Linked DNA regions of Coturnix japonica. The protein of the gene in region 1 interacts with the protein of each later gene in a biochemical or structural test. Links are inferred from orthologs where the notes say so. Each region holds a gene or a part of one and is shown on either strand. Other genes may lie near its edges. The genes, in order: SORT1 and BDNF.

Region 1 (16,937 bases):
GCACGGCCACCACGGCCAGCACGATGGGTGTGGGGCTGGGGGCCACCGCCTGCAGGGACAGCACAGCGTCACCCCATTGGGGTCAGCACACCCCATAGCCACCTTGATGTGGGGTTGTGGGGTGGCACCCACCAGCTGCCCAGGGCTCAGCAGAGTGCTGGTGCATTTCTTCTTCATGTCTGTCTCCTCCCTGCTGGGGCTCTCACCTCCACTGCATTTGTCCCCTGGAATCTTGCGGTACCTGGATTGAAATAGGGTGGGGGGGTTGATGTGCTGTGAGCCCCAGGACCCCCCCGTACCCCATGGAGGTGTAGGATTGGGGCCGTACCCGCTGGTGCGCAGCAGCTCCCGGCGGCCATAGAGGCAGAACTCCAAGTCGTGGCCCTTCAGCTCGGGCTGCTCCACACACACAGACTGGTTCTCAGGGCGGTAATACCCAAAATCACTGCGGGATTTGGGGCAGAGGGTTCAGCACCCCCCCAATGGTGTGACCCCATTGGGGCTGGCAGGATAAAGCAGGGAATGTGGGGGAGTGGGATCAGGTACAGTGATATGATGGCACTGGGATGAGGGGGGAGGGATGTGGTGGCACTGGGGTCATGCACAGGGACAGGGTGGCACTGGGATGGGGTGGGCAGGGAGATGGTGGCACTGGGATGGCAATGGGATCATGCACAGGGAGAGGGGGGCACTGGGATGAGGTGGGAGAGATGTGGTGGCACCAGGGTGACACTGCCATTGCAATGGGATCATGCACAGGGACAGGGTGGCACCAGGATGGCATTGGGATGAGGTGGACAGGGATGAGGTGGGCAGGAATGTGGTGGCATTGGGGTGACACTGCCATTGCACTGGGATCATCCACAGGGACAAGGTGGCACCGGGGTGGCACTGGGATGAGGGAGGCAGGGATGTGGTGGCACTGGGGTGGCATTGGGATCACACACAGGGACAGGGTGGCACTGGGATGAGGTGGGAGGGATGCTGTGGCACTGGGATGGGGTGGGCAGGGATATGTTGGCACTGGGATCACACACAGGGACATGGGGGCACTGGGATGGCTGCGGGGCGATGGGGGCAGCGCTGCGGTACCAGAGGAAGTCGTGCAGGGTGCAGGGGCACACAGAGGGCTGCGCTGTCACGGCGTAGTCGCGGCCGTTCTGGCAGACCGAGGACTTGCGCAGCCGGCGGAACTGCTCCTTGTAGCCCAGGATGCAGCCGTCCGACGGGTCGCGGGGGTCGCTGGAGTGCGCCAGCCAGATGGTGTAATCCTCATCCTCACCTGCAGGCAACGGGATCAGCGGGTCCCTGCTCACCCCCCTCCCATCTCCATCCCCATTTTCCCCCATTTCCATCCCCACTCCTCCCCGTCCCTGTGTCCCTTGTTCCCCTCCATCCATCCCTGGCTTCATCTCTATCCTGCCCCAAACCCATCTCTACTTTCCCCCCATTGATCCCTACCTCCATCCATATTCCCCTCCATTTTCATCCCCACTCGCCCTGATTTCTGTTCCTATTCCCCCATTTCCCCTCCATCCCTATACCTGTCCCTTCTCCCCCCTCTATCTATCCCTATCTCCATCCCTATTTTCCCTGCCCTGCACACTTCCATCCCTATTTTCCCACCCCTGACCTCCATTCCAATTCCCCTTCTATACCTACCTTTATTCCCACCCACATCAACCCCCATTTCCATCTCTATTCCCCCCTCTATCTATCCCTATTCCTCCTCCATCCCCCTCATCTCCATCCCCATTCCCCCTTGTACCAATCCCTACTCCCTCCTTCATCCCCATATCCATCCCCATTCTCCCCTATTCCCATCCCTATATCCATCCCTATTCTCCCCTATTCCCATCCCCATATATCCATCCCTATTCTCCCCTATTCCCATCTCCATCACCATCCCTATTCTCCCCTATTCCCATCCCTATATCCATCCCTATTATCCCCTATTCCCTTCTCTATATCCATCCCTATTCCCCCGCCCCTTCCATTCCCATATCTCCCCCATCCCCACCCCCATTTCACCCCCCATCCCACCCCACACCCATCTCCGTTTCCCCCCCACCCTCACCCCCATCCTTCCCCCTATATCCCCTCCTCATTACCTCCCCTCCCAACAACCTCAGCCCCAAATGTGTCACCATGGGGTGGTTCCCCCCTCACTCACAGCTGCGGCTGAGCAGTTGGCTGAAGTCAATGGTGTAGGACACCCACTTTCGGGATAGGAAGCTGCTGCGGAAGCCCCAAATGCTGACATTCATGGAGCGGGCGCCGGGTTCTGATGCCAACCCAGTGAAGAAGATGGGCTCTTTGGCAAAGGTGTAGCGGTACCAGCACTGCCCCTCGTCTGTGGAGAACCTGCCGAGGGGAGGGGGATGCTCAGGGGATGGAACAGATCCCCCCCCCCACCTCCCTGCAGCAATGGGAGCATGGAGGTGTCTGCTGCCCCTCCACATCCCAACCCCCAGAGCCCCCCTGACCCCACAGCCCACCCCAAATCCCAAGAACCCACCTCCAACCCTCAGAAACCAACCAGAAACCCCCCAAAATCCACCTCAACCTCCAGACCCCCCCAAATCCCCATAGCCACCCTCCAAGCCTTGGCACCAGCCCAACCCCCACACCTCCCAGACTCCCACTCCCCCACTTTCTCCCCATGCCAGGACCCCCAGAACCACCTCCCTATGCTGCCCACCCCCCCTTTCCTCCTTCCAGCCCCTCAGCCCCCCCACGCACTCCAGCACATTGACAGGCTGGCTGCTGTGTGCGATGGCCACGATGAGACCACCCGAGTCCAGTATCGCGTAGTGGTGGGGACCCTCCAGCATCCGTGCCCACGTGTACCCCCCGTCATCCGAGATGTAGACATCAGGGCTCATCACTGAGATGGCCCCCCCGACACTCCCTGGGGGGAAATAAAGCATCAATACAACAAATGAGAGCAGCACTGAGTGTTGGGGATGGGGACGTGGAGACCCCCCCTGTACCGTGGGCGATGACGATGCCGACGGCGTTGGGTTCAGAGAGCGGCACCATGGGCACGTTGAGCTTCTGAGAGATGCTGTAGGACGCGTGGATGTGGAGGCTGCACTGCAAGGACAAGCAGCAAACGCATCAGGGTGGGCTCAGCCCAACACACCCCCAGCCCCACACATCCCCATCCCACCCCAGGAGGGAATGGAGGGTAAGAATGGGGCCACGTGTCCCTGCTTGGGGACACAGGACAGAGCCACCTCCTCCTTGCTGCGCGCCGTCGAGTCGCACGTCGTGTTCTTGGGTTTACGCAGCGGAACCCACTCCCCACCTCGATCAAAGGTGATGACGGACTGGATGGAGTTGTCTGCAGGGAGCAGAGGGGCTCAGCGGGGCTGGCAGCGCGGCCCCATTGAACAGCCCCAGCCCCACATTCACCCCCAAGCCCCCCAGAGCCGAGCTATCACCTTCAGACAGCACGCTGGTGATGTAGATGCCGCGCAGAGAGGTGACGTTGGTGAAGTCGGTCTCCCCCCCGGTTGTGGTGTAGAGGTGACGCTCCAAGGACTTGGAATAAACCACGCCGCGGTCGTCTGATGTGTAGATGGTGCCGTAGCCGGTGTCTGGGGGGCGATGGGGTGGTGGTAATGGGGAGGGGGGTCCCCGTGTACCCACCAGCTCCATGCAGGGAGACGGAAGAAAACCACCCCCAGTGGACACTTGGCCACGCTCCATGCCAGGAATGTGCTTCCCTGCAGCCACTGCCCGTTAATTAACTTCCTCATGAGGGAATTAATGAGAAAAAGTCCTTCCTCAAAGGCACAGCCCTGCCCGGCTCAGGGCGCTGTGCTGCAGAGCAGCTTTCATGGTGCATTGATGTGGTGTGTCAGCTGCACACAGCGCCCACCCCATCCCAAACCCACCTCACCTCATCAACACCATCCCCACCCCATCCTCATCCCCATCCCATCCTCATCCCCACCCCATCCTCATCCCCATTCCTACCCCCATCCCGTCCCTATTTTCATCCCATCCTCACTCCACCTCCATTCCATCTCTGCTCCCATCCTCATCCCATCTCCATCCTATCCCCACTTTATCCTCATCCTCACATCACCCTCATCCTGTCTCCATCCCCATTCTCATCCCATCCAATCTCCACCCTCATTCCATCCTTGTGCCATCCCACACCTTCTGTATCCTTTCTCCATCCCATCCTCATCCCATCCCAATGTTGTCCTTATCCTTATGCCATCCCCATCCCCATCTGCATCCCCATCCCATTTCTCCCCCAATCCTCATCCCACCCCCATGTTCTTATCCTCGTGCCATCCCCATCCTCCCCCATTCCCATCCCCATCCCATCCCCATCCTCACCTCATCCCCATCCTCACACCTTCCCATCCCCATGTTCACCTCATCCTCATGCTATCCCCATCCCATCCCCATCATCACACCTTCCCCATCCCCATCCCAATACCATGTTCAGCTTATCCTCATGCCATCCCCATCCTCACCCCATCCCATCACCATGTTCACCTTATCCTCATGCTATCGCCATCTCCACCCCCATCCTCACCCCGTCCCATCCCATCCCATCCCCATCCCCATCCCCATCCTCACCCCATCCCCATCCTTGTCCCATTCCCATCCCATTCCCCCCCCAGCCCCACTCACCTCCTGGCTCATCCACATGCATGAACACCAGGTCGTCGTTGGCTGCCAGGATGGAGTAGAACTGCTCGTGGCCGACGGAGGGCAGCTGTGCCATGCTCCAGCTCTCCCCTTGGTCCAGCGAGACGTGGATGCGCCGCGTGAAGCCCTGTGGGACCCACAGCCTCAGCCCAGCCCTGTGTATGCTGACGGGGGGGACGCAGGGAGGGGACAGCCACCTTCTCGGTCATGACGGAGGCGAAGAGGAAGCGGCCGCCCAGCCCGAAGGAGTAGATCTTGGTGCCGATCACTTTGAAGGTCTTGCCAAAGTCGGTGGTTTTCTTCAGCTCCAGGAAGCCCAGGTCAGCTTCTTGGGGACAAGGGGACAAGGGGCAGCGGGTTAATGGGGCGCCCCACGCTCCTCATGGGAAAGCAGAGGGGCGGCACTCACTGCAGGAGCCGTTCAGGTAGGAGGTGAAGAAGATGGTGTTGTTTGCACCCCTGGAAGAGAACAGAGAGCAGAGATGGGGGCAGTTGAATGGGGGAGGAGATGGGGGCAATGCTTGGGGGCAGGGATGGGGCAGGGATGGGGGCAGAGATGGGGCAGGGATGGGGGCAGAGATGGGGGCAGAGATGGGGGCAGAGATGGGGCAGCACCACCCCACAGCACAGCCACCAGGTGGGCACTCACCACTTGGCCAAGCAGACAGCCTTGTGGATCAGCTCCCAGTGCTCCCCAAAGTCCTTGGAGACCCAGAGGCCGTTCTGTAAGTGATGAATGCCACTGGTCAACAGCACGTCCCCATCCCCACTATGTCTCCCATCCTCACCCACACACCCCATCCCCACCATGTCCCCATCACCGACCACATCCCCATCCTCACTACATCCCCATCCCCAACCATGTCTCCAATCACCACCACGTCCCCCATCCCCAACCACATCCTCATCCCCACGTCCCCCACCCTCACCCACCTCCCCCTCCCTCACCACATCCCCCATCCCCACCATGACCCCATCCCCAACCATGTCCCCATCCTCACTACATCCCCAACCACATCCTCATCCCCATCACATCCCCAACCATGACCCCATCCCCACAATATCCTCCAACCTCAACCATATCCCCCATCCCCATCACATCCCCTACCCTCACCCACATACCCCATGCCCACCACGTCCCCCTCCCCACCATATCCCCCCCCATGTCCGTACATCAGTGCTGAGCGCCAGCAGACGGTCGGAGTCCTGGGGGTGGTACGAGATCTGTGCCAGGGGGTGGAAGGGCAGCTCCGTCTGCACAAAGTTCTTGGCAAAGTCAGACGAGCGGAAGATGCGGCCGCCGCGACTGCCACCAGATACATCACCCGTCAGGATGACCTGGGGTGGGACACAGCACCGCGCTCAGCACCGCGCCAGGGGAAACTCAGCCAGGGACAGGGGGAGGGTCAGGGGCTGGATTAACAGGTAGGGGACAGGTTAGGGTTAGGGCTTCAGTTATGGGTTTGGGTTAGGGGTAGGGGTCAATGGCAGGGGTTGGGGTCGAGGTTTCAGTTCAGGGTTGGGTTAGGGGTCAGTGGTTGGGGTTGGGGGCTTGGGTCAGGGTTTCAGTTAGGGGTTTGGGTTAGGGATCAATGATTGGGGATGGGGGTTTGAGTTGGGGGTCAGTGGCTGGGGTTGGGGGTTTGGGTTAGAGGTAGGGGTCAATGGTTAGGGTTGGGGGGTTTGGGTTGAGGTTTCAATTGGGGGTTTAGGTTTGGGGTCAATGGCTGGGGTTGGGGTTCAGTTCAGGGTTTGAGTTAGGGGTCAATGGTTGGGGTTGGGGGTTTGAGTTGGGGGTCAGTGGCTGCGGTTAGGGGCTTGGGTTGGGGTTTCAGTTAAGGGTTTGGGTTAGAGGTAGGGGTCAATGATTGGGGCTGGGGGTATGGGTTAGGAGTAGGGGTTAACAGTTGGACTTGGGGGTTTGGGTTAGGGGTCAGTGGTTGGGGTTGGGTTAGAGATAGGGGTCAGTGGTTAGGGTTGGGGGTTTAGGTTGAGGTTTCAGTTGGGGTTTTAGGTTAGGGGTCAATAGTTAGGATTGGGGGCTTGGGTTGGGGTTAATGGTTGGAGTTGGGGGTTTGGGTTAGGGGTCAATGGCTGGGGTTGGGGTTTCAGTTTGAGGTTTGGGTTTGGATTAGGGGTCAATGATTGGGGTTGGGGGTATGGGTTAGGAGTAGGGGCAAACAGTTGGGGTTTGACGTTTGGGTTAGAGATAGGGGTCAGTGGCTGGGGCTTGGGTTGGGGTTTCAGTTAGGGGTTTGGGTTAGAGGTAGGGGTCAATAGTTGGGGTTGGGGGTATGGGTTAGAGATAGGGGTTAACAGTTGGAGTCGGGGGGTTGGGTTAGGGGTCAGTGGTTGGGGGGTTGGGTTGGGGTTTCAGTTAGGGGTTTGGGTTATGGGTAGGGGTCAGTGGCTGGGGTTGGGGGTTTGGGGCAGGGTGTGGGGCTCCCACCTTCCCCGAGTTATCAGGGCTGATGGCCATGCCGAACTCGGTGCGGATGAAGGTGTTGTTGATGAGGTTGGTGATGTCCTTGAAGGTCTTCCCATAGTCCTCACTGTACGGGGACGGCACAGGGCTCAGCTGTCAGCACCACCAGGACCCCCCAGCAGCCCATACTGCCTGCAGGGCCCCACTCCCCACATTAGATTGGGGTCTGGGGGGTGTATCGATACCTGCGGTACAGCTTGGACTGCCCAGAGATCACAATCACCCAGGGCACCTGGAACGTGGTCAGCACCAGGATGACCTGCGGGATCACAGCGTGTTCAGCTCATCACAGGGGGGTCTGCAGCCCCCACAGCCCCTCAATGGGGCGGCACCCCCTGCACATCTTACCCCAGTGCTGTCGCCCACCCAGGACAGGGACACGGAGCCACTGAGGTCATCGAAGACGCACTGAGAGAAAGAGAAGGAGATGGGGAGGAACAGAACAGCCTTCAGTGTGAGCAGGGAATGGGGGTCACGGGCAGGGGGGGACCCCAACCATGGGAGGTGGATACAGGGCATGGGGATGTGGGGATCAAGGGGGTGTGGGGTGGATGTGGGGATGTATATGGGGATATAGGGATGGATATGGGGATATAGGGATGGATATGGGGATGTATATGGGGATATAGGGATGGATATGGGGATACAAGGAATGGATGGTGGGGATTGTATATGGGGACTATAGGGATGTATATGGGGAATTATAGGGGAGTATATGGCGGATATAGGGGACTGTATGATGGATGCGATATAGGGATTGTGTCACATGGGGAATGATGGGATGATATAGGGCGATCAGGATGTAATACTGGGGGATGGATTGTGGGATATAGAAATGTAATATAGGGATGTTATGGGGGATATAGGGATGTAATAGTATGGATGTTATATGGGATGTAATATGGGGATATAGGGATGGATGTGGGGATGTTATATTGGGTGGTATAGGGAAATAGGGAATGGAGCTTCTTGGGAATATACGGGATGTATATGGGAATATAGGGATGGATATAGGGATGTATTATGGGGTTCGACTCTCTTGCACCGCCCCCCCCCGGATATAGGGACTGATATGGGGTATGTATAGGGATGTTATGGGGATGTTATATGGGGATATAGGGATGGATATAGGGATGTATACTGGGGAATATAGGGATGGGATATAGGGATGATATGGGATATCAGGGAATGATAGTGGGGATATAAGGGATGTATATGGGGATGGATATGGGGATATAGGGATGGATATAGGGATGTATATGGGGATATAGGGATGTATATGGGGATATAGGGATGTATATGGGGATATAGGGATGGATATAGGGATGTATATGGGGATATAGGGATGGATATAGGGATGCATATGGGGATGGCTGTGGGGACCGGCAATGGGGCATGGGAGGGATCACGCTAAAGGATGAATAAATGGCACGGCCACCGTCACGCCGTCCGGGGAGCCCGCATCAGCGGTCGGTGGCCTGGCGGCGCGTCCCTTACAAGGTAAAGGGAGAGAACGGGACGGAACGAACTGAGCGGGGACACGGACGGGGGACACCGGGCAGCAACCGGCCCACATCCCGCTCCCGGGTGTCAATTAGCGGCAATTAACGACCGGCCGGGCGGCAAGAGCGGGGCGCGCCCTGCGGGGAGCGCGGGGTGGGGGGGGGTTAGAATGGGGGACCGGCTTGTAACGTGTGTCGTTGTGTCCAACGGTGACACCGACAGCCCGGTCCTGTCTGTCTGTCCGTCTGTCCGGTGTCTGTCGTCTGTCCCCTGTCGTCCTAATCGGTCTGTCGGGTCTGTTATGTTGTTCTGTGCCTGTCTGTCGCTGTCGTTCCTCCCCCTCGCCGGTCGCTTCTGTGTCCGCTTGTCCCGTCCCGTTGTCCCGTGACCGCCGGTGTCCGTCCGTCCCCATCCCGTTCCCCGCGTCGCTCACCTGTTGCGTGTTGTGTTTCCCAGCACGGCCGTGACGTCCCCTCCAATCCCCGCTTATCCGCCGTTTCCTGCCGCCCCCCGCCGGTGCTCGGCCGCACCGACACCAGCCCCAATAGCCGGGCTTCCAGCACCGAACCGCACCAGCCGGCAGCCGCCCCGCGCGGGACCATGGCGACTCCGGCGCCGCCGCCGCCGCGCCCGCATCGCCGGCCTGGCCGCCGGCCCCTCCCCGTCCGCCACAACCCCATTGGTTAACGGGGGGGATATGCCTTCCATCGTCACGCCCCTCTCGCCACGCCCCGCCGCGTGTTGGTTCTAAGGATGTCGCTCAACGCCGGCTAACCGCGTCCGCAGCGGTGGCGTTTCCGATTGGTTCACTTTCTGTGTCCAATCACAGCCATCCTCCTCTCGCTATTGGCTCGCTGTGCTTAGTCCGATGGGGGCGAGCCCGCCCCCCTCATCGACCGGCCATGGGCTCAGATCCACCTAACGACAGCGCGCTGATTGGCGGAGCGGGGGGCGGCAGAGCGGATTTTTTTGATTGGTCGAGGCGACAGGTAGCAGGGCGAGGGGGGGGCACGAGGAGTGGGGTTGGGGCACAGAGTGGTAGTTATGGGGTACAGGGCATGGTTAATGGGGTATAAAGAGCGTGGTTATGGGGTATAGAGGTGTGGTTATGGGGTAAAGAGAGCGTGTTATGGGGTATAGAGTGTGGTTTGGGTACAGGGCATGGTTTATGGGGGTATAGAGTATGGTTATGGGTACAGGGGCATGGTTTAGGGGTATAGAGCGTGGGTTATGGTATAGAGTGTGGTATATGGGTATAGAGTGTGGTTGGGTACAGGGCATGGCTTATGGGGTATAGAGCGTGGTTATAGAGCACAGAGCATGGTACAGAGCATGGTTATGGGGTATAGAGTGGTTATGGGGTATAGAGCGTGGTTATGGGGTATAGAGTGTGGTTATGGGGTATAGAGCGTGGTTATGGGGTATAGAGCGTGGTTATGGGGTACAGGGCATGGTTATGGGGTATAGAGCGCGGTTATGGGGCACAGAGCATGGTACAGAGCATGGTTATGGGGTATAGAGTGTGGTTATGGGGTACAGAGCGTGGTTATGGGGTATAGAGGCGTGGTTTATGGGGTACAGGCATGGTTTATGGGGTATAGAGCATGGTTATGGGGTATAGAGTGTGGTTAAATGGGGTAATAGAAAGTTGGTGGTTTGGGTATAGAGGCGTGGTTATGGGGTATACGAGCATGTTATGGGCACAGAGCATGGTTTTAGGGGTATAGAGCCGTGGGTTATGGGGGTATAGAAGATGTGGTTAGGGTATAGAGTGTGGGTTATGGGTATAGACGTGGTATGGGGTATAGAGTGTGGTTATGGGGTATAGAGCATGGTTATGGGGTACAGAGCATAGTTATGGGGCACAGAGCATGGCTATGGGGTACAGCTGGTTTGGGGGCATAAGTCGTGGGTTTGGGGTACAGACATGGTGGGTTTGGGGCCATAAATGGTGGGTTTGGGGGCATAACCCCAGTATGGGGCACCAGTGGGTCATCAGCTCCCAGTCTGGGGACACAGCGCCCAACTTGGAGCTGGTTTGGGGTCCCAATGGCCAATTTGGGGGCAAAACTCGCAGTTTTAGGGCAGAACTGCAGCTCTGGGGACACACAGAGGCCCTAAAGGAGCCCCCCAAGGGGAAGCTGCCCCATATCTCCATAGGGACAGCCCTTAAACCCCCCCAGCTGCAGTGCCGTGCCCCAGAGCAGGGCACAAAGCACCATTCTATAGCATAGAACAGCTGGAAGAATCAGCTTTTTGTTCTATGGGGACACAAACAGGGCGAGGAGCAGCACAGCAGGGAATGGGGCAACAGCCCGAGCCTGGCACAGGGGTGTGATCCTAAAGGACAAAGTCCAGGGGCACCTGCAGGGCTGGGCACGGCCCATGTATGGCATGGGGCTGCCATGGGGCTGCCATGGGGCTGTATGGAGCCTGTGTCCTCCACGAGAGGGAGACATGGGTTGAGGGAGCCATGGGTTGCAGCCCTGCTGTGCTGTGCTGTCCTCACCTGCTCCATGTTAACCCCCCCCCTTAGCACAGAGCCCAGCACAGAGTAACAAAATGATTTATTATCGCTTCCTCTTTGTCAGGATCCGTTTATGTACAGACTGTAAATAAAAAAAACACCTTTGGGAGCCTTGTGAGATGCTGCTGGAAACCAAGCGGCAGGTAGTGGGAGGAACTGAGTCAGTTCACTTTGATCGGGGCAATGAGCCTTAGGAGCCCGTGTCCCTTTCAGATGTCCTTGATGACCTCCTCCAGCTCCTCCTTTGTGTACATGTGGAACTTCATGCCCGGCTCTATGGTGGCGAGCTGAAAGACAAGGAGCAAAGGGTTAAACGTGCCCATGTATGTCGAGTGCCAGCGTGGAACACAGAGCAGCACAGACACAGCAGCTGTTCCTTCCCTGCTGCCTGATCTGCCAGCACAGCAGGATCAGTGCAGCCCATACCGCGCTCTTTGATTCCCTAAAATAGCAGCTGGCTGCAGAAATAGCTTTGAATTGACTCAGTCTCCTCATAGTAGCAGCAGCAGGGAATGGCTTTGGGGACAGCTCAGGCCTTTCTCCAGCAGGACGATGTAATAAGGGAGCTCCTCGTGCTGCAGCTCCACCTCCAGTAACTGCAGGTTCCTGCTCAATGGGGATGTGCCTTGGAACCTGCTGTACAACAGGACGGGGTGACAGCAGCACAGAGCTGGGCACAGCGCCCTGCACAGGCAGCTGGGACGCATCACTAGGACATGAGGGCTGCACAGCAGCAGCGCTGCCAAAGGAATGCATGCAGGGCTCCCACCAAGCACTGCTGGAGCTCACAGAGATGCACAGATAACCCAGCACTGTGATGGCAGCTGGAGCACCCCGTGTGTGTGCTGCAGGGAGTGATGTGTGCCCTCAGCCAGCACAATGTGAATGACCAGCTTCTATGGGGCTGAGCTATGGGGCACAATGGGACCTCCACTGCAGGTATCCCAAACCACACCAACCACAGCTCCACCAAACCATTCCCTTGCAGCCTTTGCAAGGAATCACTCATATAAAAGCATAACACCGCTTCAGGCTCCATTGCTGCCCATGGGTTCAGCTCTCCATCACCACGTTCCCAATCCCCCTTTGCTGCTAAGTGGGAAAAACCCCCATACAGGAAAGAGGGAATCAAAAGCAAAGCCCTGCACAAAGCTGGAAAGCAAAGCGGTTCTGTGAGTGAATGATCCCCAAGCAGAAGGGCGACTTGAGTCAATGGTGACCTTTTAATCCTCAGCACATTCCTCCCATGCTTAACCCCGATGTGATTCCTCCATAGGTTCAGAGCCCTGCCAAGCACAGTTAAGCCCTGTCAAATGGGGACGTGCCATAAGGATACTGTACATGCAGCTCCTTCGCACTGTACAGCATTGCCTGTAAGGAGCTGTGAGGCTGCTCAGGAATGAGCAATGTGTGCAATGGGAAGCAGAACACAGCCTGGCATCATTGTGTGGGGTGCACGGCTCCTTCCCCCTCCAATGAAGGCAGTTAAAGCTCATCAGCAGAGCCTCCAGCAGCAGTTAATAAGGACAAAGGGGTGCACGCTTGAAGGCTGTTTGGGAAATGGAATCCTGGTGTTTGGAGGACAGCAATGGGAGAACAGCAGGAGCAGAGTCAGAACGACGTGATTCTCAAAGGTCTGGCATCTCCGAGCCTGCCAGAAATAGAAGCAAACTCTATCTGCCAGCCCTGCTCATCATCTGCCCGTTATCACGAAGGAGCTGGAAAGGTTCTGTTGGCTTTTATGTGAACTATCGCTACCTGAGCAGCACATTAGGGCCCAGCGATGGAGGCTGTGGGGACACCACACCTGGCTCACACTGAGCCCTATGAGAGCTGCAGCCTGCAGCAGCACATTCATGCCTGGAGGCTTCACCTCTCCAGCCCTCCTGCCCAAGGGATTTTTGGCCACCATCCCGGCCTGAATATAGCAAGTCCGGGAGCTGTATAATTTTCATTCCTTCTAATATTACGAGTAGCAGGGGAGAAAAAGAATGGCTGAACACAGGGGAAGAAACACTAATCCTGCTGGCACAGCAGCTGGTTCTGCCTGTGTAAGGGCAGGGGGGGCTGTGCTCCCCCCTGACATGCAGCCCATGGCCCTGCAGCTCAGAACTGCTTGCACCAGCACTGCTGGGGCAGCCCAGCACACAGACCAGGCTGCAGGATCCAGAAACCCAAAGCAAGCTCCCAGCACTTCCCAGTCCACACTTCCAAGCCCTAAGACAGTCCCTGGGCACTCTGCTAATAGAGCCCCAATTACCTCAATGTTGGTTGCGTTCAGTTTCTCCTCCATAACTTGCTTCAGGATGACGAGGGAAGACTTGATGGCTTCTTTCAGCGTCATGGACTGTAAAACAAACCACGTGCTCACTGCGCTGCTGTACCCAAAGCCAGCATCCGTTGTGTCAGCCCTTTAACTCCCACAGCACGCTGCTCTCCCTGCTTCTTCCCTTTAATCCCTTAAGCTGCCGCTGGCAGTCAATTCAAAAGCTTATCAAGCGATCTACTGTATCAACAAGAGATCAAAGCGCAGCGTTTGGGAAGGACCATTTCAAGGATGGTGACTTTCTGCTTCTCTATCCCTTCTGCTCAAGCTGAAGAGCTGGGCACACAAACCTTCCTGGCAGGAGCAGGGCATGAAGGTCTGCCCCCCTTCACCAGCTCCTGCCTATCAAGCAGTTCCCCCCCCAACAAGCTGAGCTCCCAGCAGAATCCTTTGTGCTTTAATAACATAAATCCCTGCATGAGGGGAGCCCGAGCCAGGAGGCTGCACAGCATTGGGATGGATGAGAGCTGTGTGTGCACTGAGTGCAATGGGAAGATGGTGAACGAGCCACAGAATGCAGAACTCCGGCAATTCTGCTGCTTAATTAGATTATGGAGGCTTAGGCTGGAAGTCTTCAAGGCAATCAACAGCATCAATTACGCTTTTCATTATAGTGTTTGATTTCCTTTGACACGAAGCAGGCAGCTCCCCTCCCACAGAGAGAAGAAAGTGGTTATTGAATATCAGATAGGATGAGGACTGGCAGAACAAAAGCTGTTAGCTCCACAGCTCCGAGCTGCACACCCAGAACAATGCCACACGCTCTGGTTCCTTATGCTTCAGGCTGCAGCCATCCCCAGCCCCGATGCTGCCTGTCCGTGCCCATGCAGCAGCATTTATTTATAGAGCTTCCTGACATGGACTCAATTATCACCTGCTGCAGGCACAGCCTGGCACGCTGCACGCCAGGCTCGTGTTCCACAGGGCAGCATGAGCAGACACTGCCCACCGAGAGGCTGCAGCTCTCCTCACGCAGAGCTCCTCCACCTCGTATCTCATCACTGGAGCAGCTGCCAAGGCCTGAGCCCAGCCTGGCAGCCTCAGCTCCAGCACACTGCCCTAAGTCAGAAGTCAGCTCAGCGCTGCCGTTACCTTATGGTACACCTCCTGCAGTGAGCTCTGTGCTCCCTCCGAGGCAGATCCGATGGCTCTGGCATCGCACTGCACGAACGTCCCCGAGGGGTCCATGTGAAACCTGCACGGAGCAGAGACAAACCACACCCTGCACCACAGCACCGGGGCTTCTCCCTTACAGACCCACAGCCACAACGCACACCCAGTGCCCCCAGAGCAGTGCACCCCAAAACTGCCCTCCATGCTGATAGAACATTTCTCCCCCTTGCTGTTTTCTTTAATAAAATCAGCAGGTTTTTACCACCGCTCCTGGGAGGGAGACCAAGGGGAGGCTTTTTTGGGCCCACCTCCAGCAGAGGCTGCTGTTTGAAGCAGCAGTTCAGGTTTCAAGCACTCCGCCTCCCCATGGAATGTTACAGACGGCTGCAGATATTATGTTACCGTGGCTCTGTTACTCCTTTAGGGAAAGGTAGGAATAAACTCAGGACGAGGAGAGCTTGAACACCTCCCTCCTGCCCAGGAAACCACATGTAGAAAAGCAAAGGGTTCACTAAAAGCACAGCGTTCCCTTCAATCCTGAACGAGCAGCCTGCCACCAAGCTGCCCTTGTTTGGCAGGGAAGGCTTAAATGCATTACCAAACATGTCAGGTGCATAATGGGATAAACCCTAAGGGTTTGGCTTATGGAAAACCACAGGATCAAGTCATCAAAAAGCCTTTAGAGATGTTTCACTTGGAGGTTCTGTCTCCTCCAGAACAGAACTTACAGCTGAGGTCCCTTCTCATCAACTCCTCCAAAAAGCAGCGCGACACCAAACGGACGAGACTGCAATACAAAGCAGGCAGTAGGTCAGGCAGGGCTGAGGGCAGAGCCAAAGGGACATGGGAGGCTCCTGGGGCAGCCCAGCCCATCGTTACACACCATTGCACCAGGGTCTGCATCCTCCTCCCCGAACTGCAGCGCCAGGTTGGACACAGCCTGCGTCACGCTCTCCACGGTCATGGTTTCATTGTAAGTGAACCAGTGATTCTGCAGGAAAACGAGGCTTCAGGTTATTGCTCTGCTCCCCAGAGATGACGGTGCTGGACTGTTCACATGCTGCTCTGCAGCAACGCCCCACTGAGAGCTTTGTCCCAGCCCCTCCTTATAGACAACACATAGAGAGAGTGAGGTGCTCAGCCGCAGGATGGAAGCACTAAAGGCAGCCAGAGTGAGCTGAGAAGTAGAGGAAGGGTCCCCCAGAACAGCTGGGCACATCTGGGCCTTGGGGGTGCCAAGGAGGAAGGCAAAGGCAGAGCACTCTGTCCTCACACTCGTGGTACCCACTGAAGAGATGGGACAAGGCATAGAATCCCCACCATGGAAAAGGGAGCCGTATAGAAGGCTGCATCTATCTGCTGTGCAGGAAGCTGCACACAGCCCTCCCACCCCCATCAGCTCCTCTGCTCTAACCATCATCCCACACCAGAGACGCCCCCCAGCACTAACACTGCTGTATTGAGACATGTCAGGTCCTACCTGAGTCTCCACTCTTGCTTTATCAATCAAAGTCTTGGCATCAGCTATTAAGCCACTCATGGCACACCCTGAAAACAGAGAGAGAAACCACGAGTCATTTCATCAGCGATCTGCAACCTGCTCTCCCATAGACTTCCCACCGCCCACAGTGCACACAGCAGGGCCCTGTGTGGGAGCAGCCAGCAGCACGTTGCAGAGCATGGGGTGGAATAGGTGTGGGTACAGAGCAAGGCAGTGCTTCCCATCAACGCCCATGCAGGGCTGGACACGCAGCCAAAGGGCAGATGCACCACCAGGGTGACTTCCCACCCACCCTAGATGTGAATCAGTTCAGGGAGACACAACTGAGGCTCTTCCAAGAGAAGCCGTGGGATGGGGAATGCATCCCTCCTGCTGTGGGCTTCAGGAGCTGCTCCCTGCTCTAAGGGCTGCACCACTAGCATACAGCAAGGGGAAAGCAGACCCTGCAGGAGCTCCTAAGCACCGTGATCCATCTCCTGAGCAATGTGGGTATTTCAGAGGCCTCCTGCTCTTCACACTGACATATTTGGTAACAAGAACATTGTAGGCCCCCTCGGTGCAGGAGCAGGGGTACAGGCACCAGTGCTCTGGGAGAACCTGGCCTCGAATCAAGCCTTTACATTGCAGTAATTCCCTGCCCTCCCAGATCTAATTTTGGGCTGAGCTTTCATCAGGGAGGTCACAGAAGGTGGGGGAGCTTCAGCTGCCTCTTCCTACTCCTGGAACTATGTCCTGCTGGCCTGCAGCCTGGAAACCAGCGAGCAGGACCTGGTGCCCATTGGGAGAGCTGAGCATTCCCACTCGGATT
Region 2 (16,118 bases), on another chromosome or scaffold:
CATGTGCCCAGCCCTGTGCAAGAAAAGATGAGGTAGAGGGGCCTCACGGGGAAATGATGCAGTGTTGCTCTGTGCGGCCAGAACTGACGTCTGGCACCCACATTTTCCTTCATTTCAATCCTCGAGTGCACTCGATCCTCCACTCTTAGACAGAGTTCTAGTTTTGCAGGAGGGGAGTTATTCTGAGCATCCTTTTTAAATGCCCTGTGGGTGGGAGTATTTCCAGTTTGGGCATGGTGCGTGTATTTGGATAAATAAAATCATCCTACAAAGCCAACATTTGCATTGACAACCAATACAGCATGTGCCCGAGCCGGTGACTCACCCAGCTTGTCATTTTTTTGTTCGGTTCCTTAACGTATGGTTCCATTTATACCACAGTGTATTTATAACGTAGATATTTTAATATCAAGGAACAAATATTTGTTAATGTGCGTCTGTGGAAGGAACAGAGCTCCGCCTTGGGTGACATGCTGAGATCTGCAGAGCTTCAAAACGTTTTATGGCATTATGTGCCACCCACCTCAGCCGCCATAGGAGCGACCAGCGAACAGAACAAAAACCAGACAAAATGAATGGGAAAGCGGAGCCGGGGAGCTCAAATGTGCCCCAGGCTGCACATCAAGTCTGCGGCAAAACCGAGGCACTGTGGGTTTCTTATCCCTGTGGGATCCATGAGGCGAACTGCATTTCAAGTACATTCATGTAAATCCAAACCAGACCGTTGGGCTGGCTTTAATTTACCAGAAAGCTGAACTCGCTCCGTGTGGGAGTGCAAAGGCTGACCCAGGAGGCACCAGGGCCACATGAAGCCCTGCAAAGAGCTGGCGAAGGGCCTTGCTGGTGCCCTGGGGTGGCAGCAGCCCCTGGGCCAGGCCAGGCTCTGTGTCTCAGCTGCAGCCACGCAGGCAGTGGAGCAGCCCGTGCCCTGGTGGCAGTGCGGTCAGCCACCTTTCTAAAGAGCCCAGAGCACTTCTCTTGCCCTGCGCTCTGGCAGCAGCCAACAGCCAGAAATTCTCTGGCCTAATCAAGCCCAAACCAACACAGTGTGGAATAGCAGCTGCTAGGTCCATTCCCTACTGCTTTATCAAGCCCTCAAGCCCCTCAGTTCTGCATACCTGGCCCTTTGCAGGGGCAAAGATAGACTCTGCAGCTGACAAAAAAAATCTTGTATTTAAATTATTGAATTAATGTGACATCAAATGACCAAGTTAGTGGGCATGGAGGTGGTGGGCTGACAGTTGGACTAGAAGATCTTAGTGGCCTTTTCCAACCTTAATAGTTCTATGACTCTAAAAGAGAGCAGAGTATAAACTCTGGGAAAGATTCAGAGATATCCGGGCTTGCAGCTTTGTTCTGAAGTGCTCCGACACATTGGTGTGTAGGTGGCCACGCTGGCAGCCTTTCACCCAACTGTAAATTATACTTCAGCAGAATGTTCTGCAGTTATAGCCATGTGTAATGCCTGACACGTCCTTTGTTTGGGGTGTTGCACCAGTTCTTAGAAACCGCAGATATTGACTGCGTTAGGAAGCACGCAACTGAGAAGGCTGCGGTCCTCAAAGTGACTTTGTGATGTGGCAATGGCTTGCAGACCTCTAAATTGTTTCTTGCCCCAGAAACTGTTTATCTTAGCATCTTCTTGTACCAACTTCCTGCCTTGAAAGTTCAGGCAAGGCTTCAGGTTGTCAGCCCATGCACTGTATTATTTTTCCAGAGGCAGGCGGGGCTGATTAGCTTCTATAGCAGTTGCTTGCACTACTCTACCCTCATTATTTCCTAGAATCACCATGCAGGCAACCATTATAAGCTGTAAGGACATGCAGAGCTATGCCTGGAATCTGCTTTAATGTGGAGGAGGTGTACACCACAGCCATCCTGCCACCTCTAACCATGGGCAACAACCTGGTGCTTTATGCCCGTGTTTCCTGTGCCCATTTGCCTGTGACCCCCGCTGCACGAGCTGGCTGCCACCAGGGTCTCCACACAGAGTAAGGCTACCAGGTCCTTGGGAAGCTGCTGGCAATAAGCATTTAGAAGAAATACTTTTCTTCCCATAGTCCCTTTTGGGTGTTTGCCTCGCTGCCCTGAGAAAGAAAGTAGGAGGTAGTTTTGTCAGGGCTATACCAGTTTGTACATGAAACATGTGTGTATCCACTGAAGACAGAATGCAGAGCTGAAAGCAGCATAGCCTCACAGGGCTGTTTCCTAAATCAGAAAGGCTAAGGTGGCAGCACTATTTTTGTTACACAAACACGGCCATATTGACTTCTCATTGTTTTTAAATAACAGATTCCCAAGGCCGGAGTCCAAATATAGTGAGGATTCTATTAAGGAACATGCTGGGGTTAGAGCAAAAATGAGTTTCCCAGCAGAGTGGCCTTTAGTTAAAGGTCAGAATAAAAAAAAATCTAATTGGGAACCTTATCATTATAGTTTAAAATATTCAGTGTAGAAGCCAGTTAAAGGAATATTTGGTGCAGCAAGCACCCTCAGCTCTTAGAGGCTGTTCAGACTATCACAGAATCACCAAGGTTCGAAAAGACATCTAAGATCATCCAGCCCAACCTATCACCAATAAAAATAATAAAAAAAGCCCCACCAATCAACCCCAAAACATTTCAGTTCAAGCCCATTGATTTATATCAATCCCACAGTCTTTAGCTACCCTATGTGGTAGCAACTGCTTAAAATTAAATAGATAAGTTTCTTAATCTTCCCCAACCCGCATCAGAACCCCCCCAACTTCAGGTGAGACCTCAGTGCTGCTCCTGTTTAATTCAAGTAAGTGCATTCCTTCCCTTTCTTGTTTTAATTGCCCTGACAGAAGGTATCTTCTCAATGACACCTTAATTAAGGGAGGTGCCCTGTGGAAGCAGTGGACCGGATCCACCTGGGATGAACTGATACACAATTCCTCACCTTCTCACTGCACCTGAATATTGCCTTGCTACTCTGTTCAAAAACCTTTCACTGTTTGCCACTCTTCTCCGGCTGGGTAATTTAAAAGCCTGACTATGTGCCTTGAGATTTGCTCCAAGTGATAACAGCTATGGAATTACCCTTTTCCTTCCCACCTGCTGCTGGGTACAAATAAAGGTTTTGGGGTGCCCATCTGTTCTTTAGTTACCTGTGCCATATATACATAAAACAAGACAACTCAGTGTATTCCCCCATCTCCGCTTCTGTCTTGGGCAAAGGCTGGCACCATGGAAGGCCCGCAGTGAGGCACAAGCATGACGCATCATTGGCATAGAATCACAGAATCACAAAGTTTGGAAAAGACTGCTCAAATCCCCTTGCCCAACCACAGTCCACCCCACCATGCCCACTGACACAACTCACAGTGCCACATCCCCATGGTTCTGGAATACCTCCAGGGATGGTGACACCAGACAAGGCCCCATCATTCCAGTCAGCAGCAGTTTGCCTATCTATTACGGCTTCTGTTGGCTTATGCTAGGATAACAATAAGGCAGGGAGCCCATGTGCATGTGTGTTTAATATAAATGATCATCTGCAGAAGCACTGCTTCCTAGGTTCTTGCGGTGATGGTACTGGCACCAATCTCTTGGGAAATTTCTGAAGAGAAGTTGCTTTGGTTTTCCTTTCTCCTTCAAGTAATATTGAAGTTTTCTATTCATCACAAAGATTTATTGATTTTTCTAGGCTTATGGGATAATTGAATATACAAGGGTTTGGCAGCTCTAGCAGAGCATATTCTTTTAGAAACGCTAACAGTATGTTAAATCTGAGGAATTCCACTCTTGGTACTGTGTGGGGGTCATAACTAACCTCAGTGCTGTGGATATAAATATACATGACACCACTTAAAAAGCAAGCATGAGACCGGCCTATAGCTGTGGAACTTGGGCCTCACGTACCTGTTTATTATTCACAGTAGTGACTCCCCAACACGCTTCCATTATAGCCATTATTTTTGCAGCTGAATAAAACCATTCCTATTTGTCATTTGTGGGTTTTTAGTCTCACGAGGACCTATGGGCTAGAAAGAGATGGAAATATATCCGTTGTGAGCATCCTCATGTTTTATGGAAAGCAAATTCTTGCCAGCACTCCCCTCCCGATGCTAACTGTCCAGCTACGAAACAGGTGGCTATCTGCCCTCCAAGGGAGATTTTATTGCTAAAATAAAGTAAAAATTGTTTTAGAACAAAGAACACACATCTTTATAGTAAAACTCGAGTTTGTTTTACAGTTAGAGAAAAGAGTCACATGGTCCCCCAAAAAACCCCAAGTTTTTTTTTTATATATATATATATTGAAAATATATTTAAAAACATAAAAAACTCTATAGTTAAACATATATTATATTAATCAGTACACTTAAATATAGCTTAATTATATTTACAATATGACGCAGTTGCTTTTAAATTTTAATGCCAATTTCAGTGTTTTCTTTTTTCCAAAAAACATAAAATTATATAAATATACAATAAATATTTATGTTACACAAGGTGAATAGTAGAGAACAAGGCCACAGACATGAACTTACATTTGCAAGAGTCTTTACTTAACACAGCACTAGGCCTGCTGACATGCATGATATACCTTTGTCACAAACAGACCACAGCAAGATTTCAATTAAGTGACATGACAGAAAACCAAGCCCCCGCCCCCAACTCTGTTAACTGAACTGAGCCTGCGATCATGTCTGCATTGGGTCAAGCAAACGAGAGCCATAGGACTGCACTTGAACTACCAATTTCACGTTATACCCGTGTCAAAAGCATCAGCTGACACACAGATTGCAGGGAGCAAGGTTCCTCCCTACATTCTCGCTGCTGTTCCTTAGTTCTCCCCACACACAAGGGCTGCTCCTTTGGGTGTACTCAGTGGGGAAAGCTCAGCAGCCAACGGCACACAAGCAGAAAGGATGGGAGGAGACACTCCATCAGGTGGCTTTGCCAGAAAAGCCACTGAAGAGCAAAAGCCATCTGTTTGTGTACGTACCAAAAGTTGCAGTCCCTGCTCCTAAAGATAATACAAAGTGTTTTTTCTCCATTTTGTATCAACACGGGGGTTACATTTTTGAGTTACTTTAAATACAAAGCTACTCTATGAGAAGCCCTATTCATTTCAATTACTCACCTAGGGAGCTAACAGCAGCACTCAGCCCTACCATCAAACCATTTCTACCCTGCAACAAGCACCGCTGGGACCTATTCCAGGTGAGAATGACTGAATTGAAGGTGAACCCATGGTTAGCTTTGATGATCTGTCACTCCTTACATTCACCAAAGCATGCTTGTGAGTTAGGCTACCACCACACTGTCCCTCTGCAGCCGTTCAGAAACACTGCCGAGAACAACAGCACCCAAGCGATGTTCAGGTTACTAAATGCCATGGATTGGAATATGCATAAACATCCTGGCTACAGAAAAATGGGTCTCTCCCTCCCCACAAGCGTCCAGTCTACATAAGGATTTTCTTAATGCTGATTTTTAGGTGGGAATGCCTCAAGTCTGAAGCTCAAGTAGGTCACATAGTGCTCTCTTCTTGTTCACAGCCCAGCAAGCATGCAGTCAAGACAAAATACAAAGTTCTTTTTACAGTGAGGATAACTCTACTTTGACAGCCTGGCAAAAGAAAGCCCTTTTAGCCTACGAAGAAACCACTTTGTGTCTATGCCAGCCCACAGAAGCCAACAGACAGGGTTTCTACTAGGAGTAATATCAATTCTGCGTTAAATATATTCTTCACATGAGATCATTAAGGGGGCTGATATTTCAAATTAGCTTCGCCCAGTCCAGTTTTTAATTAATCTCCGCAGACAAACCAAGTAACGCAGACTTTACAATACTTATGTCTTAAAGCATTTCCCTCTTTGCTCAAGCTACTTTGTCCAGAGGATTTACAAATGCAGCATCTATCTTTAGTGAGCTCACTAACGAGCTATTTCTGCGTCTCCACCCACTGTATCGAGATAAAGTGCTATGCCTGGCTCTGAAGCTTACAACCTGCCTTTTTGGAACTACTTCTGTCTGGATCACTGAAGCGGTAGCACAAGACCTACAAAGTGTCAGAACCTAAGCAGATGTTAAGCCAATCAAATCCAGCCCTTGCTCCTTGCTTACTTTCAATGCCAACTCTTGTTTCACAAAGGCTGACAGCAGAAGTAGACATGTACATAAGTGTTGACTGCCTCCATCCCTGGCTATCACAGCACTCTGGGGCCAGCATACATGCTCTGGAGCACAAGGCCACACTATGTACACCAATGTGCAAGGCACAGCCTTCCCTCCATGAGGAGATGCACAGGACCAGGTTCAGAGACAAATGCAATCTGGACAGGCTCAGTCAAACCAAAACCATTCCTCACTACTGAGATGACCAAGCTCTCCAGTGCCGTGACCGCCCTCTGATTCACTGGGAGGGTTTGAGAGCCTGTTCTATGGACACCACTGCTGCGCTTGGCTAAGACACTGGATCCAAGCGCAGACTTATTACACTGTTATCGCTCTCAACACTCCATAAAGTACTTTCTACATGACAAGCTCCAGTTGTATGCTGAGTGAAATACTCTAAAGCTCACAGTCAACTTTCTTTGAGAGAGGAAATGGGAGGGGACCCCAAACACAAACAAATATGGTATAAAGAAAGGCAAGTCTCAAAAGACAACGACTTAATCAAAAATAACCCAGCAAAGCATGTTGACAGACAGTTAACTAAGTGCTGTCCTTAAGCCTGAAGTTCAACAATGTGAAGTGGAACATCACCATTCTTTTTCAGTTGCCTCTTTATTTTTTTTTTTATCAGTAGTAGTCAGATTGCTATTGCAAACACCTTCACAACATACAAAAGAAACAAAACCCAAATCTGTCTTTAATCCAGAATAAGGTTATGTGGGTTTTTTTTTTGTTCTTTTTTTTTTTTTTCCTTCCAAATCTGATGGGAGTTCAAAAATAAGAGAAACAGTAAAACTATGACAACAGCACCTTGACATTGTTTTAATTCCAACGCTATCAGAAGGTAAAAGCGGTAAACAGATATAATACCAACAGGAATAAAGATACTTACTGTCTAAAATGTAAACGGAATGTTTTGGTTCGATTTATTTCTCTGAAAGAGGACAGTTTATCATCGATTCACAATTGAAGCAGCATGCAATTTTCTTTTTTTTTTTAAATTATTATTTTTAAAGATCTTTTTTCTGTTTTCAATTCTTGGCAACGGCGACAAACCACAACGTTATCGAGGAATGTAATGCAGACTTTTTAAGTTTGTTTGCTTTTTTTTTTTCTTTTTTTCTTTTTTTTTGGTTTTTTTTTGTTGTTGTTGTTTTGTTTTTAATTTGTGCGCAAATGACTTTGACTTTTGTTCCCTTTCAGGTCATGGATATGTTCAATAAATAGATCGTGGAATCACTGTACTGTATAAACTTCAGTTATACATGCAGTCCATAAAATTATTTTTTACCGAATAATTTACCCTGTTATGTATATATACAAATAGATAACTTTGTCTCAATATAATCTATACAACGCGAGCCCACTATCTTCCCCTTTTAATGGTTAATGTACATACACAGGAAGTGTCTATTCTTATAAAGCGCCAGCCAACTCTCTTTTTGTTATCCATGGTGAGAGCTCTCACGTAAGACTGGGTAGTTCGGCACTGCGAGTTCCAATGCCTCTTGTCTATGCCCCTGCAGCCTTCCTTTGTGTACCCCTTGGGGTTGCATTTGGTCTCATAGAAGTATTGCTTCAGTTGGCCTTTAGGTACTGGGACTTTTTCAAGCACTGTGACGGTTGCGCCAGACATGTCCACTGCAGTCTTTTTCTCCGCTGCTGTTACCCACTCGCTCGTGCTGTCACAGACGCTCAGTTCCCCACGGCGAGCTGGGTCAGAGTGACGCCGGACTCTCATGGACATGTTTGCAGCATCCAGGTAGTTTTTGTACTCCTCAAGCAGAAAGAGCAGCGGGGGTTCCAAAGGCACTTGACTGCTCAGCATGACTCGGGATGTGTACAAGTCCGCATCCTTGTTTTCCTCACTGGGCTGGATGTCCTGATCCTCATCTAAAAGCTCCTCTATCACGTGTTCGAAAGTGTCCGCCAGCGACGTCAGTCCTCTTGAACCAGCATTGGGCCCATTTAGGCTTTCAAGAGTCCCGTGGGTCCGAAGACCTGGGTAAGCCAAGCTGCCTTGTCCTCTTACACCAGCTTCTTTCATCGGGGCAGCTTTCATGCAACTGAAGTATGAGATAACCATAGTAAGGAAAAGGATGGTCATCACTCTTCTAACTTGGTGGAACTGTTGAGGACAAAAAGAAGATGAAAATTAGCTTAAGAGAAACAAAGTCATCAAAATTCACCTAAACTGTCATGAGACATTATGCTTTTCCTGCAGAGATATACTTCATGCGTGCAGCTGCAACTCATTATCAGTGGAGAAGCATACTCTGGTACAAAGGTGTTCCTTTAATTTAGATATCCAGATAAATCATAAGCCAAAACTTGGGCAACATGGATAATGGTGAGTCAGTTCGTATGTGCCAATGCCTTGCTGTGATAAGTTTTAGATCAGATACAACACTAACTCCTTATTTACTGAATGATTACACCTATATTCAAGTAATAACAAGAGCAGAACAGCTATTTAGCAACATAGCACTTCAGCACTAAAAGGTAGCTTCAGAAGTGTGGAAGGTAAGACCCCTCTTTCAAGTGGAAAGGTAAATACTTTGTTTATTTATTTATTTAATCTTTTATTTTAAAGATCTCTCAATGCCAAAAATAGTTAAATCCACAAGAAACAAAACAGCACCGGGATGAACTGCATTTGTACTTTAAAAGCAATCCTCAAAACAGAGGAAGAGGCCATACACCTCTGAGGTCTCACCAGGTCAATCCTTCAACTAAAAGTAGAAGGTATGTACACATAAATATAGAACAAGAAAATGATGCAGGACTATGTGCTTGTAACCCTACTAAACTGGAACTGGAAAGATTGCTCGCATCACTTGAATGCCATGGGAAGGACATACCGGATTACAGCACTGATAAAGCACTAAACTGAAATGACAGTACCAGGACCACTGTGCTGTGTTTCCTCAGAGCCCCACATCAGCCATTCTCAAGCAGGCAAAGCGTATATTCTAGCCAAGGGCTTCACATGAAGACCCACAACAAGGCCAGGCCACACCATGTTGCCATATACAAACGAAGAGCAGCTTGCCTTGTTTCTCTCACATTCTGCCTCCAGTTCTGGATTGCATTACAGGCAATGCCTTGAAGCTTATCAATTGGCTTGGCTCTTTCTTCATTGAGCATAGAGGGACAGCACCAGCTAACAGCATCAGTAAGAAAACTCCTCACCAGCTTTGGAATTAGTGAAACTCATTCCTACCAGCACTCCAAGCAGTTTGGGCTTGCACAACTGCAGCCATGTTTTTTGCTAAGCCTCCATATGTTTCTCAGGGTATAAATCATTTCCTCCTGAAGAACAGAGTATGTACTTACGATACCATCACGAGAGTCCCTCAAATCCTGCTGTGACACAGAGCTATACCTAGTCTGATCCTGAGTGCAACTACAACATCTATCATGTCCAGTGGTTATATTTCCCTCCTTCCCATCTGCACTCTCACCAGTTCTGCTTGCTAGAAAGCAACAGCATTGTTCACATTTTTGAAGCAGCAGCTAATGCTTGTTTCGTAGCTTTTGAAGTTCGCTCGGAAGTACCTCATACTTGGCAGCACTCACTGGAGTAAATGCTATTTCTGCTTGCCAGCAGGGTGCTATGTAAAAAGCCTTATTTCATCTCCTGCAAATACGCTATGGGAAACTTGTACTCTTCAGACTCCACCATGGAAAGACAATCCATCACAAAACACACAAAGAACATGAAATATGTACTAGAAAGGCAGTGCCTGACACGTGGGTCTCAAAGTCTACTTAATGAAGTGTTGGGGGGTGGAGGGAATAAAAGAAAACCAACATACTTTTTGTGCCCAAACCCTCCCCTACTAAACCAAATTCTGGCTAACAATCACCTCCTTCCCAGCACAACTTCACTTTCTTGCCTCCACCTCTTTTCCTGTTTGGAAGTGTTACTGTGGCATAGATTTATTAGGATTAAACAAACCTGACATCTGTGACTCACAGGAACACAGTGTTTGCTCTAACCATGCAGAACATTAATATTTTGCATATTTTTCATCCTGGGATTTTAAAAACACATTTTACAGGGAGCAATATCAGATTTCTTCCTCAAAGGGAAGAAACAGACACTAGAGATGATTTACCACACAATGAAAAAGGCTATCAGTCTTCCTTGGTCAAAAGTGGAGAGGCTTGACAGGGGGAGATGGAGTGGTTTAGCTAGCATAAAAGGACAGAGCCAGTGGGAACGAGAATCATACATTCCCTCTTCTGAGAATTCTCAGAATTCTTTCATATAAAAGGAAAATTTTAAAAAAAACCACAAGCCGTATTGCAACCTCTGACCACCAGAGCACTGAACATAACACAGATCAGGTGGCTCCTAATCAAGTCGTCGTTATTTTTATTAGAGTAGTGCCCAAAAGTCCCAGCCAATATCTGGACTCCAGAGGACAGAATGTGTCTGAGCACATACACAGGACCCAGAGGGCCCTCCAACATGACAGCGGCAGGACACAACACAGGAGGGACCAAGGCAAGCACAAAACAAACAGGAGCTTGCATCCATCAGTTATGTTTGCCTGTTGGAGGCTAAGTATTTGCTAAGTTAAGCCAAGGATACAGCAATTCCTGGAACAGGACACATCCTTCCCCATTATCACTGAGCTGTTTATTTATGATAGTCATGAACTTGATAGGATCCAAAATGACTAAAACAACAGAACTTCATTTGAGAGAAAAACTTAAAAGGAAGACAAGAGATGAAAAGCAGGGAGGTGCAGAGAAGCTCCACCAGGAGGCTCAGCATCCTCCAATTGCTGTCTGGTCACCGGATCTAGCAGCATTTTATCTCTAACATGAAATTAATCCTTCCTTAATTGGTTTTGCCCTCCATTTAGGAGCGAAACTGCTGTCAAGCTTGATCAATTTACATCCCATCTGACGATATCTGACTGTCACTATGGTAGGTACTACAAAAAAGTACAACTAGCCTCTGAAAACCAACAACTTTGACAGATTATTCACAAGAAAATGTGACCATCTTAAAAGCCACCCCTTTCCCTCCTACTTACATCAATAGAAAAGTATGTCAAAGTATGGTTTAGCAGTGCAGACACGTGGAATATCATTAGCAAGCAAACACAGAGATATATCTTTGTATAAGAACTGCAGACGAAGCTGAACAGGACAAGCAGGACATGAGAATCTTCTCCTCTACCTTCACAACGACTAGAGCAATATACATGGTCCTCAGGTTTCCCAATGAAATCATGTTGAGTAAAATAATAAAACTTCTAGGAAACACCTCCATTGTAAAGGCTGTAACTTCTCATAGAAGTTGCTTGGAATCTAGTAGTTTAAGATACCGTAAGCAGATTAAGACAATCCCATTTTGTGGATAGAAACAGCCTTTGAGCTACTCACGAACAGACTCATGGGTGTGCATGATTTCAGCTCTCACATAGTGAGCAGGACTAATATCCTAGCACAGCACTGGAAACAAACTGGACAGCATCTTCCAGTCATTTCTCCTCTACTCCCCAACTATCAAAGCTTAATTTTACATTGCTAGGATTAAAGACACTGGCTGGCTGGTTGCAATAGGTGCCTTACCAACTCCAAACACTGACAGATTACGTACACCCCGCCAATCACGAGGCAGGCACCACATCACCTGCATGGAAGTGGAAAGGGGTTGGAACACCAGACAAATCTGTACTTTGCCATTTTCCCAGCATGCTCCAGCTAAGCATTTATTTAAACAGATGAATGCTAGCTGCCTTGAGACTCAGCCTTAGACAGCTTCCTCGGGTCACACAGGATGTCTGTCAAAAAAGATGCTTGAGACCAGCTTCCTAAATGCTATCCATTTCCATGGCTGCCAGAGCATCCTTCCCCCTCTAATGCAGCATGACGAAACTGAAGCAAAGAAAACAGGTCACCCACCACAGACCAGATCTCAGGAAGACATGACCTAGTTTGTACTTCAATAAAGTCCATACAATTACAGCTAGAATAAAGGCACATAATTGTGGCAGCAGTCTTCACTAATGGGAAGGAGCCTTGTTAAATGAAGGTCATGTCAATTACCTACAGCTAGTTTACATATGCAGTCAATTACTTATCTGCACTGTTTACTTGGTATTTAGCATTTAATGAGAATTCACCAGCTAATTGTTTCATTCCATTATTTTTCCTTATTTTAAGCAGAAATCTAATTGCTTAACAGGTTCTGTTCCCAGCAGAAAAACCTGAAGAAAACTGTGAACATAAACTTGCTTTTCTGCATCCTGACATGTGCCATGAAAGTTGAAATAACATTCAGTAGTGAGCAGATTCCGAATCCTTTCATCTCCAGAAAAGAAGCATACAGTGGAATGTAAAATTAGCAGCAAGATGATAATTCTTTTCTCTTGCCATTTTCTAAGACCTTTATGCAGAAGTTCAGTTTCCTAAATGCTACTGAATGGCAAAGGCACGAGTTCCTACTCTACACATCATTACTGGAGTGTGTGAACAGATACCAAAATGGGATGCATGTCGGCACACGCTTTACAAAGACTTAATGTGCTGAGAACAAACAGCCTTCACCTTTAATACATGCATAACTGCCTGTCTGACGCACTACGGTTATCCTCACAGCTATTCACACCATCTGTATAATTAATTTTTATTACTGAAAATAAAGCACCACCCCCCCTACACACCCCCATGTATACATACATAGACACCCTTGCCCAATTTGTACTCTTTAAGTTGCTTCTTCATGTCAGGAAGAACCTGAACACGTGTTGTTTCCCCCCCCAAACCCCCCTTCACAAACCAAAACCAACCCAACACAACTTGTCCCATCGTCCAGAGGTGGGAAAGAACCCAAAGATAATAATAGGGGATATTAATGCCACAACATTACACTCTTGATCTTTCATGGAGTTACACACCAGTTTCCTACAAACATTCCTCATGCCTTTCTGGGTGGTCAAACAGCAATACAAAGGGCACACTTGCTTCAAAACTCTCACGAGGAATTCAGCTGCTCTTACATGAGCAGACTGGCCAGGCTCTTCATTACAAGTGTGCCTGCAGTTTACTTGGCAAAGTGCAGGTCTGAAGGAGTTCCCAGCAGGATTTCTGTCAGCCAGATCTTGGACCCAAGCTGCCCATACCAGGAAACAGGCACAATAAGTTTTGGCAGTATGCACAGGCAAAGGAATAGCAGACCAGGCTCACAGATGGTATCAGAGCTTTCAGAGAGACAACACCCATAGAAGAGAACAGATGTGCACTATTTTTATACATTCACAATGGGAGTTGCTGGTAGAGCCCATGGCACACACCCTGCTTTTCCAGCTGTTTGTACAGCATCCCACACAAGGGGCACCCCAACTGCACAGGGGTTTGCAATCATCACTGTAAACAAACCCAGCTCCATAAGGGGACCATGTGTTTGCCACATCAAGCTACACAAGGGAAGCCCTCTTCAAATACCAGCTTCCAGCAGATTTACACTCACCAAGAGTAGCATGGGTAGGGTAATATGCCATCCATACTCCTATTGCCATACCAGAAATGCCAGACAGAAGGAACAAGACTTCCAAGTCTCAAACCATGGCAGCAGCACATTCCAGGTTGAGAATCCACACCACTTTCCAAGCCTGAAATCGAGCTGGTTTAGAGAATTTGCTGTGATAAGATTCATGCAATTCCTAAGTTCATTCAAAAGTAATATTACATGACTTCTGTGAACTTTAAGCTCACCTAGAAGTTATCATATAACAAAAACAACCCTAAAACCACACAAAACAAGAAGCCAACCACAAAACCATTCAATGAAATTATAACAACTTGTTGAGATACTATCTAGATCCTCCACGAAAGCAAATAATTACAGTTCTCCAAAATCATTCACTCCAATTGCCACTAGAGTTTCATATAATGCTAACCCAACCTGTGCATTAAAGAACAGTAGGGCAGAGTCTCAGACCTTGGTGCAACACATGTGGTTTGCCTTTCATTTTACTCTTCAGTATGCAGCACTGTGCTGAATCACCACAGGACAATGCTATTCTGCCAAGTACATGCATGAAGCTCCCACTGAAGCCGAGGATAATTGGCATTTGAGAACAGGAACAGAATGGAGCACGTTGCAGGCAAACTAGCATAAGTTGGATCCTTTGTACTGTGACATGTGTCCAGCAGCCCTCCAACAACCCAGAAGCTGCTGTACCAGTAAAGCTCGCGTCTTACAAGCGCCTATAAACTACTGAACAGCGTGTAAAGCATCCCACGCACCCATCAGCTCCGCTGCAAATAGCAAGTGTCCTAGGACCTGTAGAACATTATGCACTCAACATGAATGTAAGAGAAGCTTAGCCAAGGAAAAGCAATGGTTAAGACAGTTAAAGCATCAGACAGTTACCCATGGCTGGGGCAGACAGTGCTTCCTCTACAGCAAGGGCTATACCCACTTCTGTTTTAAACACTTACTTTTGCTGAACTCCTGAATGTGTGTGGCATCGCTGTAAGGGAATACCTTGCTTTTAGCCATAGTCAGTCCTCGAAACGAAGCTGATCTGCACTGTGATGTGCATGAACCAGAAACTGGAAATGCCTGTTGTCAGACTCCTGACAGGTATTAACAATATGCCTGCTTCGCCAGTAGTGTTATCAGTCATCTTTTGGCTGCCTGCCCTCATGTGCAGACTTTTCTCAACACATGCTCAATTCAGCTGTTAGCACAGCATCTCTGTGGAAATACTTCCCCTACACGAACAAGAGATACGAGGTACCAGAACACCTTCTAGAAGTACTGGAATCCAAAGTTACACAAGAACTACTGGACCAGGAAAAGAAATCCGCAAGTTCACAAAGCCACCTCTATATGCACTAAGGGAGTAATGGACAGCTTCTATTTAACTGCCATTCTTTTATTTAAACACCATCAGGTGGGTCAGCAACTTAACCCATCTGGTTAGGCAGCCAGCCCCGCACCTGTCCCACTGTAAGAATTGTTTTATCTTCGGAGATAGCATTGTGTTGTGAAGTTAATGTATTAGCATAACTACTGAAAAGCCTTTGGCAAGAACTGCCGTCTCCACCACTAATACTTTATTTTGACAATGCAGCACATCACAGCTTTCAAAGCATTGTACTTTTCAGCCTGCTTTTCCTCCCCCCACCCCCTCCCGTGTGATATCATGTTGAAACAAGGTTGCTGCTATCACTGTTGGATTCTCTGTTCGTAACCAACTTTAAAAATTCAGGGGCCAGTTTCAACTGGATTGAGAAGGATACGAGTTTCACAGACAACACTACTTCCAGATTCCCCTAACTGGCAAGCGAGTAGCTGAGACCACCGAAATAAGCTTTCCCCTCCATCCCTAGCTGGGCAAACCTTAACAGCTCAGCAGCAGCTGGGCAAGAAGAGAGCAGCACACGGGCTTACCCCACCTACATATGTACAACACTGCACTGTTGCGACCACTTCGAATTCTCTATAGAAAAAGAGTCTGTTTTTAGTTAGAGGGGGTGAGGAAGTATATCTGACAACAATGCAAACTTCAGAAAACAAAGTTCAGTAGTTGCACTGTTACAGATTCAGGCATTTATTGGAACACAAGGAAAAAAAGAGAAGTAACTTCCTCCTGCAAAGCTGCAGGTTTTATCAACCACCTGCCTTCTCACAGTTATATAATGGTATAATCTCTTGCCCAGAGGAATATTACACTGTGACTTGTGTGAACAAGGCACATGGGCATTAGGTTGTCCCATCCCCCCCAAATTAAAGTGAAATTTACCTGACTGATGACTTTTCATACCAGTCATGAGATTGGTGGCACCATGGGAAGTTATTTCAATGAGAGCTGCTGAGGCTCACTCAAGTAGTACATATTCCAGCAGACCTAATTCTGGCACACACAGTCACTGCCTGGTATAAATCCATAGCGCTCTATTCATAGATTTGCACCAGCTGTGAAGTTGACCCAGCAT

The links.
Region 2: the proteins of SORT1 (region 1) and BDNF form a complex in vitro, tested with the Homo sapiens proteins (2 studies listed by BioGRID and IntAct, with this or other methods). The link is inferred for Coturnix japonica from reciprocal best matches to the Homo sapiens genes SORT1 and BDNF.

What each region holds. Positions count from the first base shown.
Region 1 is NC_029541.1:1,574,861-1,591,797, forward strand, and holds the start of SORT1 (sortilin), read right to left. Parts: upstream 7,694-16,937; 5' UTR 7,679-7,693; coding exon 7,508-7,678; intron 7,419-7,507; coding exon 7,345-7,418; intron 7,227-7,344; coding exon 7,124-7,226; intron 6,013-7,123; coding exon 5,848-6,012; intron 5,398-5,847; coding exon 5,324-5,397; intron 5,134-5,323; coding exon 5,084-5,133; intron 5,003-5,083; coding exon 4,872-5,002; intron 4,802-4,871; coding exon 4,657-4,801; intron 3,603-4,656; coding exon 3,447-3,602; intron 3,347-3,446; coding exon 3,240-3,346; intron 3,097-3,239; coding exon 2,994-3,096; intron 2,912-2,993; coding exon 2,743-2,911; intron 2,365-2,742; coding exon 2,174-2,364; intron 1,283-2,173; coding exon 1,093-1,282; intron 446-1,092; coding exon 329-445; intron 242-328; coding exon 133-241; intron 50-132; coding exon 1-49. Other genes in the region: PSMA5 (proteasome subunit alpha type-5), read right to left, coding at 11,399-11,476, 13,450-13,536, 14,608-14,710, 15,357-15,415, 15,512-15,619, 16,109-16,176.
Region 2 is NC_029520.1:3,054,666-3,070,783, forward strand, and holds the end of BDNF (brain-derived neurotrophic factor), read right to left. Parts: intron 8,278-16,118; coding exon 7,516-8,277; 3' UTR 6,765-7,515; downstream 1-6,764. UniProt on the Homo sapiens protein: Important signaling molecule that activates signaling cascades downstream of NTRK2. During development, promotes the survival and differentiation of selected neuronal populations of the peripheral and central nervous systems.